2 linked regions of the Cricetulus griseus genome follow. The protein of the gene in region 2 interacts with the protein of the main gene of each other region in a biochemical or structural test. Links are inferred from orthologs where the notes say so. Each region holds a gene or a part of one and is shown on either strand. Other genes may lie near its edges.

Evidence for each region. The genes of interacting proteins can lie anywhere in the genome.
Region 1: the proteins of Fyb1 (region 2) and Skap1 form a complex in vitro, tested with the Homo sapiens proteins (2 studies listed by BioGRID and IntAct, with this or other methods). The link is inferred for Cricetulus griseus from reciprocal best matches to the Homo sapiens genes FYB1 and SKAP1.

Annotation. Positions count from the first base shown.
Region 1 is NC_048600.1:109,633,763-109,640,005, reverse strand, and holds the start of Skap1 (src kinase-associated phosphoprotein 1), read right to left. Parts: upstream 3,667-6,243; coding exon 3,612-3,666; intron 1-3,611. UniProt on the Homo sapiens protein: Positively regulates T-cell receptor signaling by enhancing the MAP kinase pathway. Required for optimal conjugation between T-cells and antigen-presenting cells by promoting the clustering of integrin ITGAL on the surface of T-cells.
Region 2 is NC_048595.1:340,307,307-340,313,400, reverse strand, and holds the start of Fyb1 (FYN-binding protein 1), read right to left. Parts: upstream 3,643-6,094; 5' UTR 3,533-3,642; coding exon 3,503-3,532; intron 1-3,502. UniProt on the Homo sapiens protein: Acts as an adapter protein of the FYN and LCP2 signaling cascades in T-cells. May play a role in linking T-cell signaling to remodeling of the actin cytoskeleton. Modulates the expression of IL2. Involved in platelet activation.

The sequences.
Region 1 (6,243 bases), on a different chromosome or scaffold from region 2:
AGGGAAGTCAGAACTGCCGCAGTGATGTCAGGCAAAGTATTCTTCAAGGCAGGGGAAAATACCAGAGATAAAGAAGGTTATTTCAAAATGACAAAAGGGCCACATCACTGGGAGACATAACAATTACAAAAGAATATGAACCCAGTAACTGAGCTTCCAAGTACTTGAAGCCAACTGACCTTTTTATAGAACAATATGTCCCATTGCTCTCTCCCTCTTGTCAGTGCTGATGAACCTGGGAACTTGTGTGTTCTAGGCAAGTGTTCTGTTGTTCCCATATCTCTAGCTCTATTAAGTCTTGATTAAAAATTTAAAAGAGAGACTGGAGTGATGGCTAGGTAGGTAAAATGCTTTCTGTTCAAACACAAGGACCTGATTTCAAATTCTGCTACCCAAGTAAAACCTGGGTACAGCAACGCTTGTAACACAATACGTGTGATCCCAAAGCTGATTAATCACCTGTCTGTAGCCGGGCGGTTGTGGTGCATGCCTTTAATCCCAGCACTAGGGAGGCAGAGGCAGATGGATCTCTGTTAGTTCGAGGCCAGCCTGGTCTACAAAGCAAGTTCCAGGACAGGCTCCAATGCTACAGGGAAACCCTGTCTCGAAAAAACAAAAACAAAAACAAACAACAAAAACAGAAGAAAGAAAATGACCCACAGCTGGATTTTATAGAGGCATTTCTCAATTAGGTTGGAAGATCTCAAATGTAGACTGTCATGACATAACCATCCTACAGATGGATGGAATAGCTTCACTGGAAGGAAAGGTGTTGACATAAGTAGACTCGGAAATGAGGAGTCAGTAAAATGACCATCCATGGTGCTGTGTGTGTGGCGGGGTGGGGGGTGGGAGGGTGTCTGTGTCTGCCTGTGCAAGTCTGTGTGTGTGTCCGTGTGTGTTTGTGTGTGTGTCTGGGTCCACATCTGTGTGTGTGTGTGTGTGTGTGTGTGTGTGTGTGTGTGTGTGTGTCTCTGTGGGTGTGTCTGTCTATGTGTTTGTGTGTGTAGTGCATGCTCACACTTATACTAGAGATAGAACTCAAGTCAGACAAGGATACAAGGTAAGACCTTGACAAAAAAAAAAAAAACATCTGAACAACAACAAAATAATCTTGAATTATAACCCAAATTATAAATAAATACTCTTAAGTTCATAAGTAATATAAGTAATTAAGTAAATTAACAAATGGGAAGTAAAAGACAGATCTATAGTGTAGAATTCAAAATAATTTATGTAGATATTTTACTCCAAGATAAAGGAAACATACCTCCCAATCCTTGGGTATGGGCTGTACACAGCCACTTTCTTCCAAAAGACTGCAGAAAGGAAAGGGGAAATAGAGCAACTCCACAGAGGAGAAACTTGACACCAGCCAGGTGTTCATGGTTCAACATCAACCATCATAAATCACACCGACAGTGTGGACCCTTGATGCAATGTGGTGAAAATGATACTTTTGTGATCTTCCTCCCTTAAGCCTGTAACCCAGTCTAAACCTGAGAAGAATGCTAGACACATTCTAATACAGGGTCATTCTGACATTTACCTGACCAGCACTCCTCAAAAGGTTACACTCATTAAAAACAAAGGGAGTGTGGGAGACAGTCACAGCTGTGAGGCACCCAAGAAGACCTGACTGTATCCTGGATAGGATCCTGAGATGGAAAAAGGGCATTAAGTAAAATCAGGAAAACTGAATGAACTGTGGGTTTTAGGTATGTGATGATGCTGGTACGTTAGACATAACCAAAGCACCTGTCATGGCTAATCTTGGCTGTCAGCTTGACTACATCTGGAATCAACTAAAACCCAAGCAGTCGGGCATGCCTGTGAGGGATTGTCTTCATCTCATCATTTGAGGTCAGAAGACCCACCCTAAATCAGGCTCATTTGAGGTCAGAAGACCCACCCTAAATCTGGGCCACACGTGCCGGTAGCCGCCCACATAAGAGGCCACGGAAGGAGGAAGCTTTTCATTTTGCCTGCTTGCCCTCTCTCCCACCATCAAGTTCAGCTATGTGGCAGCTGAGAGGTTCCTTTGCTGTTATTAGAACCCCCGTCTTCAGTATTTCAACACAGACCAGAGACCAGCTGAGATGTCTAGTTTCATGGACTGAAAAACTACTGGATTCTTGGCCCTTCTGTTGGCAAAGTGCACTGTTGGACCAACCAGACCACAGCGTGTAAACCATTCTAGTAAATTAATTCCGTTTCATGTAAATAGATCCATTCTATCAGTTCAGTTCCTCCAGAGGACCCTGACTAATGCAACACCACACAGACGTAAAATGTTCTAATTAAGAGAAAGTGGAGGAAAGAGAAGGGTTAAGGGAACTTGGCATCACCTGTTTAATATTCATGTAAACCTAAACTTTCCACAAAAATTCAATTAGTAAAAGCTGTAAACCATGTAATCTGAATGCGCTAAATCTGATTATTTAGCAAGATGGGTAAAAAACGCTAGCTTCCAAGACTGAACACAGGAGTGCAATTCCTGTGTCCCTTATGGTGGAAGGAGAAAATCAAGTCCTGAAAGTTACACACACACACACACACACACACACACACACACACACACACACACAAACTAACTAGAAAGTTAAAATATAGGGCTCGGTGCATTCATTTTAGAGTCACTGCCACACTCCGGTTGGGCACTGTGATGAGCATCAGAACTTCAGCAGAGGTCACTACCAGGTGGTGGAACGGCAGCTATTCTTACCATCTTATTTGTATTTCTAGATGTGTGTCTATTTCTAAGTTGTATGTTTCAGAATAGAAAAAAATAGTACAATAAAAATCAGTGTAAACCCTGAGATACTCACGGTTTAGAGACCCTTTACTTTCCATTCCCCACCCTGGATTCATTCAGTGGTAGAGGACCTGACTGGCTTTCACATAGTCCTTAACAGGGTAGGGTTCCAATGGGCAGGTACAGGAAGTGGGCAGCAAAGATGATGCTATGTTTGGGTCCTATGGCACAAGCCCATGATCCTAGCTACTCAGGAAGCTGGGGCAGGAGGATGGAAAGTGGAAGGCCAGCCTTAGCAATTCAGTGATGCACTTTCTCAAAATAAAAATACAAAAGGCACTGGAGATATTACTCAGTGATAGGGTATTACCTACCTTGCTCAGGCCTGGGTTCAGTCTCCTGTAGTATATGATGATGATGATGGTGATGATAAAGAAATCTTATGTGATGTGGTAAGTCAAACTGTTCACTTTCTTCTTGTAGAACACACATGGATATGAACTTGTGCACACACACACACACACACACACACATACACACACACACACACACACACACACACACACACACACACACACGCACACACGAAATCATTGAATTTACCTACTAAATTCTTCCTCCACCCAGTTTTACTGAGGTAAAGTTGATATTGGTCCTTACTAAGTTCTTGTAAGTAAAATACCTGCCTACTCCATATGCGGAAATGTACCAATGGGTTATAATTACGGCCCTGTCGAGGCTGCTAAGGATGAGTTGATTCTTTTCTTAAAACTTGTCCTGTTTTAGTTTTCCTTCCGATTAATTATGAGAAAGCCTTTCCTTAGATACTTCAGGAGTGAAGTGTTTGTTTCTTTACCTGCAATCAGCATCTTCTTGGAGAAGTAAAAAGACACAATGATGACCTCTGCCATTGATCTCATTGTTTATTTAGAATGCACTCTACAGATACACCCACAAGCTTTCTAGGTGAAATATAGAGCCAAGAAAACAAGAAGTCAGAAGGAAGGGCTACATGCAGGCTTGTGTTTTTGATATTGCGTTCAGCCTCCAGCAAAATCCTGATATGAAAACACTAAGGAAAGAAATTAGAGAAACTACTTCACTCTTTGATTGAGAAGGTGGAGCTTCTCACGGTGAGAACCCAAGGGGCCTGGGCAAGCCGTCTCGAAGATGCCAGATAGGAAAGAGATCTCAAGCTGTCCTGCAATGCCCCACCTCTCTCTAGTCACCATTCTGCTAGTAGGTTTTCCCATTAAGTAGATAACAGATTTGCTAACAAGAGCTCTTTGTGGGGACTGGAGCTTGCCTGGTGTATATGCAAGCTCCTGGATTTGACATTTGGCACTCAATTTCTTTAAAAAGCTGCCAGATCGAGATGCCTTGGGGTCTCTGCAACTGCAATATCCAGTGTCAATAAGGAGGATGAGGCACTCATGGGGTCTGCCCAACAGTTGCCTTCAGCTAGAGAGTGAGCAATACCATGTGACACTCAAGTCCTCATAGGAAAAGATGCCAGCCACCTGCCATAAACAATGACACACACAAATGCCTCTATTCTTCATCACGTATTCAATGGGCACCGGGAAAACGAGCAGGACACACACGAGCAAAGGACAGACAGTCAAATGCACAACTAGAATTATGACAGGAGCTACCAAAAAGGGAAGTGCGGAGCGTAGGAGTGACATTCACAAATGTCTCTGGAGGTCAGGGACAGAGGTGAGTTACAGAGAATGAAGAGATTTAAACTTGAAGAGCTAAACAAGGTCAGGAGGGGAAAGAAAGGCGGCAATGTTCATCTAGAAGGCACACTCATAAACACATAGTATGGTGCACTACAGTAACACACGATTGCTTTAAATCTCATATTTAAAAGGTAAACACAGCTTTGGCAAAGACATTAAAATTCACACCTGCCCTAAAAGGAAAACGCCCTCAGGTTTCAGACATCTGTGCAAGGAAGTCAGAACAGGAAAGAAAAAAATAAATAAATAAAGGACTGGGACAAGGGAGTAGAAGGCATGTACCACACTGGAGGCACAATACGGTCATCATGTCCCAGCAAATACCCACTAATGCGCTAAGGCTGCCTGCCAGGAGGGGCCCAGACCTCCTGGTTCAAGGCTAGTAAGAGTGTCTGATATTTTCCCCAAATTCTCTGACCTTGTCCCTTTACAAAGTCACTATTTTGTTTATTTGGAGAAGAATAACATCTTAAGGGTCACATTTTTTTTTTCCTAACGACTGAAAGATAAATGTGGCTTCTTCCTGTTTTCTCAAAAACACTCCTGACACTCTGGGGGGAAAATACTTCAGTCAGTGCCGCTAACAGTTGCAAATGTTCTTTGTTGATATATGTTTCTAAAACTCAAAAGTTTGCTTCAATCAACCTTTTATTTGGAGGCAAGATGAATGACCCAGTGCTGCTGAAAACAATTCCACCAACCAAATACCAATAAAAGTGTTCCTAGAGGGGATATTGTGTGAAAGAATTTGAACCGCTAAAGCAGAACTCGCATTTCTGAGAAGAATAATGGATACATTTCTGCCTGTAACTGGCATTGCACCCAAGAAAACAGTTGAGGTGTTTGTTTTGGTCTGTGGGTAAAAAGGATTAAGATAGGTCAAAAATGTTAATTTTAACTAATTAATTGAATTAATTCCATGGACTTACTGGCTAGTACTCCAGGTTTCTTTTGCTCTAAGAAGAACCCCCAAATTATCTGCATATACCATTTAAGCATAAATGACTGTCCTAGCCAGGCAAGACCACAGAAATGCCCAGCTTCTCTGGTTACATTGAGTTAATCCCTGTTTTACTTCAACAACCCTCTGCTGATTTCTGCCATTAATACCTGACCCTTCCCAGGCTCTTCCTTTTATCAATACATCTCCACACCTTTTCTTCCTTATTGCCCATAGATATTTTATTAGTCAGGGCACACTGTGTGGACAGTTTTGTCTACTGTATTTCTACTTCTAGTTTTTTACTTGCTGTTGTCTGTGAGCATTTGCTTAGGACACCACTACTGTTTGAATGCCTGTGTCTCCCCCAAATCCACATGCTGAAACACAGCCACCAATGTGGTAGTATTAAAAGGTGGGACTTTTGGAAGGTTATTGACTGTCCTGATGGAAGTCAGAGCTCTAATAAAAAGAGGCCCTAGGGTCACTACTTGCCCCTTTTACCACGCAAGGGCACAGAAAGTGTCATCTCTAAAAAGTCAAGCAGGTCCTCACCAGACATCAAATCTGAAAGTGTTTTGGTCTTAACTCCCTAGTCTGGAAAACTATGAAAAATAAATATTTGCTGCTTACAAACTGTTTATAGCATAAATGAATATTTGTGGCTTATAAACTGTTTTGTTAGAGCAGCCCAAACGGCCTAAGACAATTATTAAATACTGCTCCCCTGCCTTCAACGGGCTTAGAAGTTACACATTTTAGCATTTTGTCCGTAGTCTGCTTTACCCTTATGATTTAAAAAA
Region 2 (6,094 bases):
GATAATCTGTGATAAGAAACTACCTTAGGATTTTACAAATTTCACTTAATTTCTTTCTTCATTTGTAATGTTAAAAACAAATGTGAAATCAAGTACTATCCGGAACCCTGCAAAATGAACAAGAGTGGCTGTTTCTCTTCATGGCTTATGACCTTGTAGAGGTCATGCTAGAGATGCCCACTGTCCTCCCAGGAAGATCTGCCCCTAATGAGTTAGTGAACTACAGCCCAATAACCCTCTCTGGCCAGCGGCCTATTTCCAACATCTCTCAAAACAAGAAACTCTTACAGTTTGAAAAGAACTGTAAAATGAACAAACAAAAAAGTTAAAATTAGCCCTTCCCTCTGTGCTCCCCCTCAGTTGTCAAAGAGGATCCTCTTCTTGTTCTTTCTAAGGAAACTGAGAGCTACACTCATAGGACTGATGCCCCTCTATAGACTCCATTGGGGATCTTTACCTTCACAATACATCCAATCAGGGTGGTGTTTTAACACCTCCTGGGTTGTCGCAGTCTGAGAATGGTTTTTGTTTGCATAGTCAATAAGGAAAAGGGAGAATATCTCCATGGTGAGTCTTTCAGGATAACACGTAGCCCTAGCATTTCTTCCTCCATCAAGAAAGACGACACACCACAAAGAGCATGGTTTTTGTTACCTATAATCCTTCTTGAGATAGTCATATCTGAAAGTAGAGTTGAAAAGGATTACTTGTATTAAGTCTTAAAAGGAAACTGGTGGGCTGGGAAAACCCTTGGTGGGTCAAGCATTTGCCATACAATCATGAGAAGTTGAATTGAAATCCTCAGAACTCAGAGATTCTGAGTGTGTGTGTGTGAAGCCAGGTGTGAAGGCACGTATCTGCAATCCTAACATTCCTATGGCAAGCTAGGAAGCTTGTAGTCCTGCAAGCCTGGTGTACCCAGTGCTGAATGGAAAAGAGACCACATTTCAAGCAAGATGAAAGGTGACACCCAACACCAGAGGTGTCCTCACGCATGCCAGGGAATGTGCTCACCTGTGACATACATACATGTCAAACACACACCATACACAAAATAATTTTAGAAAGATACTGATATACTATATACGGTTTTCATTATTTTTGTGGTTACTTCCCAGTGAAATCTTTGATAAGCCACAGGGAAATGTGAGCAATTAGATAAAAATAAAATCACTCAAAGTTTTCTCAAGTCAACATCAGACCTCCCATCTGCCACCCAATCCAAGGTGACACCTAAGTACTTCTGAACATGTTACTAAATGTTCAGGGTTCCCACTCCCACAGGAGTGGTTTTAAGCAAGTGATGACTGTCTGTATCTCTGGGGTAGGAAACTTGAGCCATGATGATCCTGTGCTGCTGTATTATAGACCACAAGTTGGTATAGAAGAGATAGTAAGTTGGGAGGGTGTGTAGTGGAAGTGGGGGAACCTTTTTACTCCCAGCATTATCACTCCCAGGATCAAATGCCTGTTTAGGATATCAGTATCCCTCTTTATTGCCCAGCTAAATTTCACCTCTAACTTGTGCCCATTCCATCTGACCAGGAAAGTGATTACTGTTCACTCCTGTTACCTGTCCATATGCTTGTTTCTCTGTTTCCACATTAGAAGTAGAACTTATTATTGCTATTTCATGCAAATTATTGCTGTTTAATTTTTAGAAATGATAACATTTCTACTCAATTAAAAAATTTAGTTGATATCCTGAGTCTTGAAATAGGTTAACCAACCTGGAAACCAATGGCCAAGGGAGTCATATTTCAAGTGTGGTGATATGGTGCTGGTGACCACACTAGTTCCACTGTGTGTGCATTGAAAGCCTTTACTGATGTATTTGAGAATGCAATCACCTGGCCCAAGATCAATGGGTTCCTCTGTCCCAGGGATCTGAGTGTAGTTTGATAGCACTGCGTTCCCCTCTAATGCTCTGAAAAGACGAGTGTATGGCAGCCCGAGCCACACCCTTCCACCGCCAAGATTAATGTGTAGCAGATGATGTTCAAATGAATGTCTCAGTGAAAGCTCACGACGTCTACGTGCTTGGCTTGTGAGCCAAGTGTGTTCAGATCATAGTTTGTCAAAGAAACATATTCCTCCACTGTGCTTACTCTCTGCTGTGTTTGGCTATAAGATGCCCAGACTCACTGGTAATGAAGATGAAAGTGGGTTATGTGGAAGTGGAGAGCAGACATGGGTTCTGCTGATTTTCTTTGACTTTTGTGGTCATTTCCTCTTCCTTACCTCAAAACTTCTGCATAAAGAGAAACATCATAACTCACACCATGCACGATTGGCTCCTATGTAATGTGTGAAAACAAAACCCCAAACAAAAAACCAGTAGCTCTCCTCTAACATCTTCTGCCTTTTCTTCTAACTTCAGCATTATTTTTATCATCTGTTCTTTATTTTGCTTCTCCAGAAAGCTGGGAAACTTTCTGGGCAGCTTTGGAGTTTAAAGCTTTTAAAGATCTTGGAAATACATTTGCATCAGAGAACAAGACTTAAAACTGAGAGATCGGGAGGGGGGTGGAGAGAGGGCTCAGTGGTTAAGAGCATTGGTTATTCTTCCTGAGGACCTGGGTTTAGTTCTCAGTGCCTACATTGTAGTTCATAATTTGCCTATGGTTGCTCCATTCCAGAGGCTCTTGTTGCCCTCTTCTGGCTTCTATGGGTACTGCACATGGTGTCCTAACACAGGTAGGTGAAATTATATATATATTAATTATATAAATTAATACACACACATATATTATATATATATATATATATATATATATATATATATATATAAAATCTTTAAAGAAAAAAACAACATGGACAGAAAAAAGTTCATGAGACCTCACCCTACACAAAGAACGACAAGTCACTATGGAATGCTGAGAGCAGGAGAAAGTCTTTCCCAGGGAAAACACAAATTGATTATCCAATACCAAATGGTCAACCCTGAGATATATACATATAAGTAGTATTATGCAGACTGAGCAGATTGTATTTATGTATTTAGAAATATAGATAAGTAGCAACAATGGAAAAAAAGAACACCTATGAATCTGAAAGAGAATGAGAGGGGGGCTACATGGGAGGATTAATATCTGACTTATGATCCCCCCCCTTGAACTTTAATTTGTTTTATCTAGAATTTATCTTTTCACAACAAAGCATGCACTGCTTTATAACTATAGCATTTGGTTGGAAATATGAGGAAATACAAAAGATAAAATGTTTAAAATAGAAGATTCAAGAAGCGAAACAATTTTTCTTCATTCTTGATGAATTGTTTTGACCAGTTTTTTTTTTTTTTTTTTTTTTTTTTTTTTTTTGAGTGGGGTAAGGGATCCTGAAGGTCACAGTGGTCACAGGGATGGCTTTCAATAACACCACAATGCTCCCTTCCCTTCCTGCTGGCTCCACCCTTTTGATTTGGTTAGCAAGTTCCCATACCTGGCAGTATGCACCTAGAGGCCCTGTCTGGTTTGGCCCCCTCTCCACCCCCACAGCTCACCGTGTTCCCTGTTAGCCTCTTGTCCTTCATGGGTCCTCATGTCTCCCTTTCCCTGCTGAGGCTCTTATTCCTGACTTTCTCATCAGGTGAACATGTCTGGATAGGTTTTTCTCTCAGTGTCCCAACAGTCACCATTCTCTTACGACATGTGACATAGGCAATCTGCATTAGCCTCCTTTCTCTGACTCACATTCTCACCTCCCATCAGCTTGGCCCAGCCCCTCCCAAAGATCTTTGGAATTTACCACTCCCCTCCCCCACTGCCCCTCTCACTTCCTGTCTGACAATGCCTTAACTTCTTATAGAACTGTTCTTCAAATGGGATCCTTCCCCATAGGACTGTCATCAAGATATTCCTGTGATAAATGAATCATATATTCCTGTGATAAATGCTTAAAGCATTTCATTGGCATTCCAACCCTCAGGATAAAAGTAACCCAACTCCTTCCTCCCCCCTTTTTATTGACCTTATGGCTTTACTCATGCTAGGCAAGCACTTTAGCACTGAACTGTATTCCAAGCCCTCAAAGACAAGTGAGGCTTTCTTTCACTAATTTGGAACACATCTATAGTCACACATGATATCCCTCTTTCCTTATGTCCATACCTGCCTCATTCTGGTCTTCACATGGGTTGCCTGACATCTGTATTTAAGCTCAGCTCATATTTCACCCACATACTCAAGACTCTTTTTCCCCCATTAGAGTACTTGCTACATCACATGGTAATATCTTTGTCTTGGTTTCATTAGACATTGTCATTGGTATGGTTCTTCATTTGTCTGTGTCTTAAGAATAGTAGTCATTGGACTTTATGAGTTACCTCCCTATGAGTTATTGTTCAGAGAGGCCCAAGAACAGTACAGGCTATTACCATGGCTCTTGGCTGCCCACCTCAACTAGATGGTAAGATCCTATTGCTGAAGACACCACTCTTGTTTCAGGACCCAGAGATATAAAAATTAAACTGTCCAGGAAACTCTCCCTGTTGGTCAGCTTTCACACTTCTGAAAGGTGCTTGCTAGGTAGGCTGCTGAGAAGAAAATATATCAATGATCTCATGGAGTGCTGGCCCCTACATGTTTTAATACCAATCCTCCAGGCAAGACATGCTCATTGGTGTAATAGTAATAAAAGATTGTCTGTGGGGGTAACCAACCATTCCCTTGATAGGTCTTGAGGCCTACTCCTCTGAAGGGAATTCATGACTGTACTATAATCATGGTCAAAAGCCATGACTAAAGAAGTAATACACCTAGTATTGATGTGTTTTTTTCTAAATGGTCATGTTATGCTATGGCCATCTAAATATTTATGTTATAGTCATAGCTATGTGCTGCTCCCAATCTTGGCCAGAGAATAGACTTATTGCAGTTGGGCAGTGGTTAATGCCAAGATGTGTTACTGTGCAAAGTGGTGAGAATAAGCTACTGTGAATGCTCAACCACAGACGGAGCATCAATATAAACCCTCCTCTAAGGCTCAGGGAATGAAGGGACTAGCTACCCATTTTGGCAGCCATAACAGGCTTGCCTGACCTTGCCTTGGTCACTAGGAGGTCAGATGCCTGCCTTGTGTGTGACCAGGAACCAATCAGAAGTTAGCTGGTGGTGCTATGCTTTACGGCTCTGGATGTGCTTTACAGACAAGTGCACAGCAATGACATGCAGAGCATAGCAATCACCCTGGGAGGGCCTATGGGCCATAACAACCAGTTGACCAATCAACACAGGGCAAGCCTGGAGGCACACCAATCCTGAGCCTGTGCATACCCCTAGACACTTCCCTTATGCTGCCCTATAAGATCTTTATGCAGTGGCTTCTTGCTGTTTTTCCTAGCCATCAACCATGGTGGATGGATGAAAGTCCCGTGCTAACATGGAGTTAGCTCGTTAAACAACTGCAATGAAGCCTTGTGCTGTTTGCATCAAGTTTCCGCCTCCACCTGGTGATTGGGGTCGTTGCAGTTCTGGACGAAGATCCTGGGGGCCTGAGCCTCCGGGGGTCTTTCAGGACCATCATAGGAGAGGGGACAGAAAGATCCAGAGAGAGGGAAGAGTGATGTGAAATGATGCCCTTGAAATTGCAGTAGCTGTGATTATCTACATAGGACCTGCATGATATCCAACCAGTTAAAATTCCAGCAGGTAGAAGGAGGAGTTCATGAAGCCCCATGCCCCAGTTGAGAAGCTATTGGCAGTTAGTTGACCGTTGTTGCATAAGGAAGAATCCTCTTTCTTTAGAAATACAGCCACTGGCCTCTGGAGGTGGACTGGCGTTTTGTCCTGGTGGGTGGGAGGGACTTCGAGAGCCCATCCCACTTGAAGGGATTCGCTCTGTCTCTGAACACATGGGGAGGGGCCTAGGCCCAGCACAGGAAGATTTGGTGGACTTGGTGGAGCCCTGGTTGGGGGCCCTACCCTGCCTGGGGAGTGGCGGGTGGATGGGGTGGGGGGTAGGTTGGAGGTGGGGGAGAAGGAATGGGGGGGGGAGGGAGAGGGAGAGGGAAAGTACATGTGAAAATATTAATAATTTAATAAAAAAAAAGAATAATGAAAAAAAAAAAAGAAATACAGCCACTGGTATATTCCCC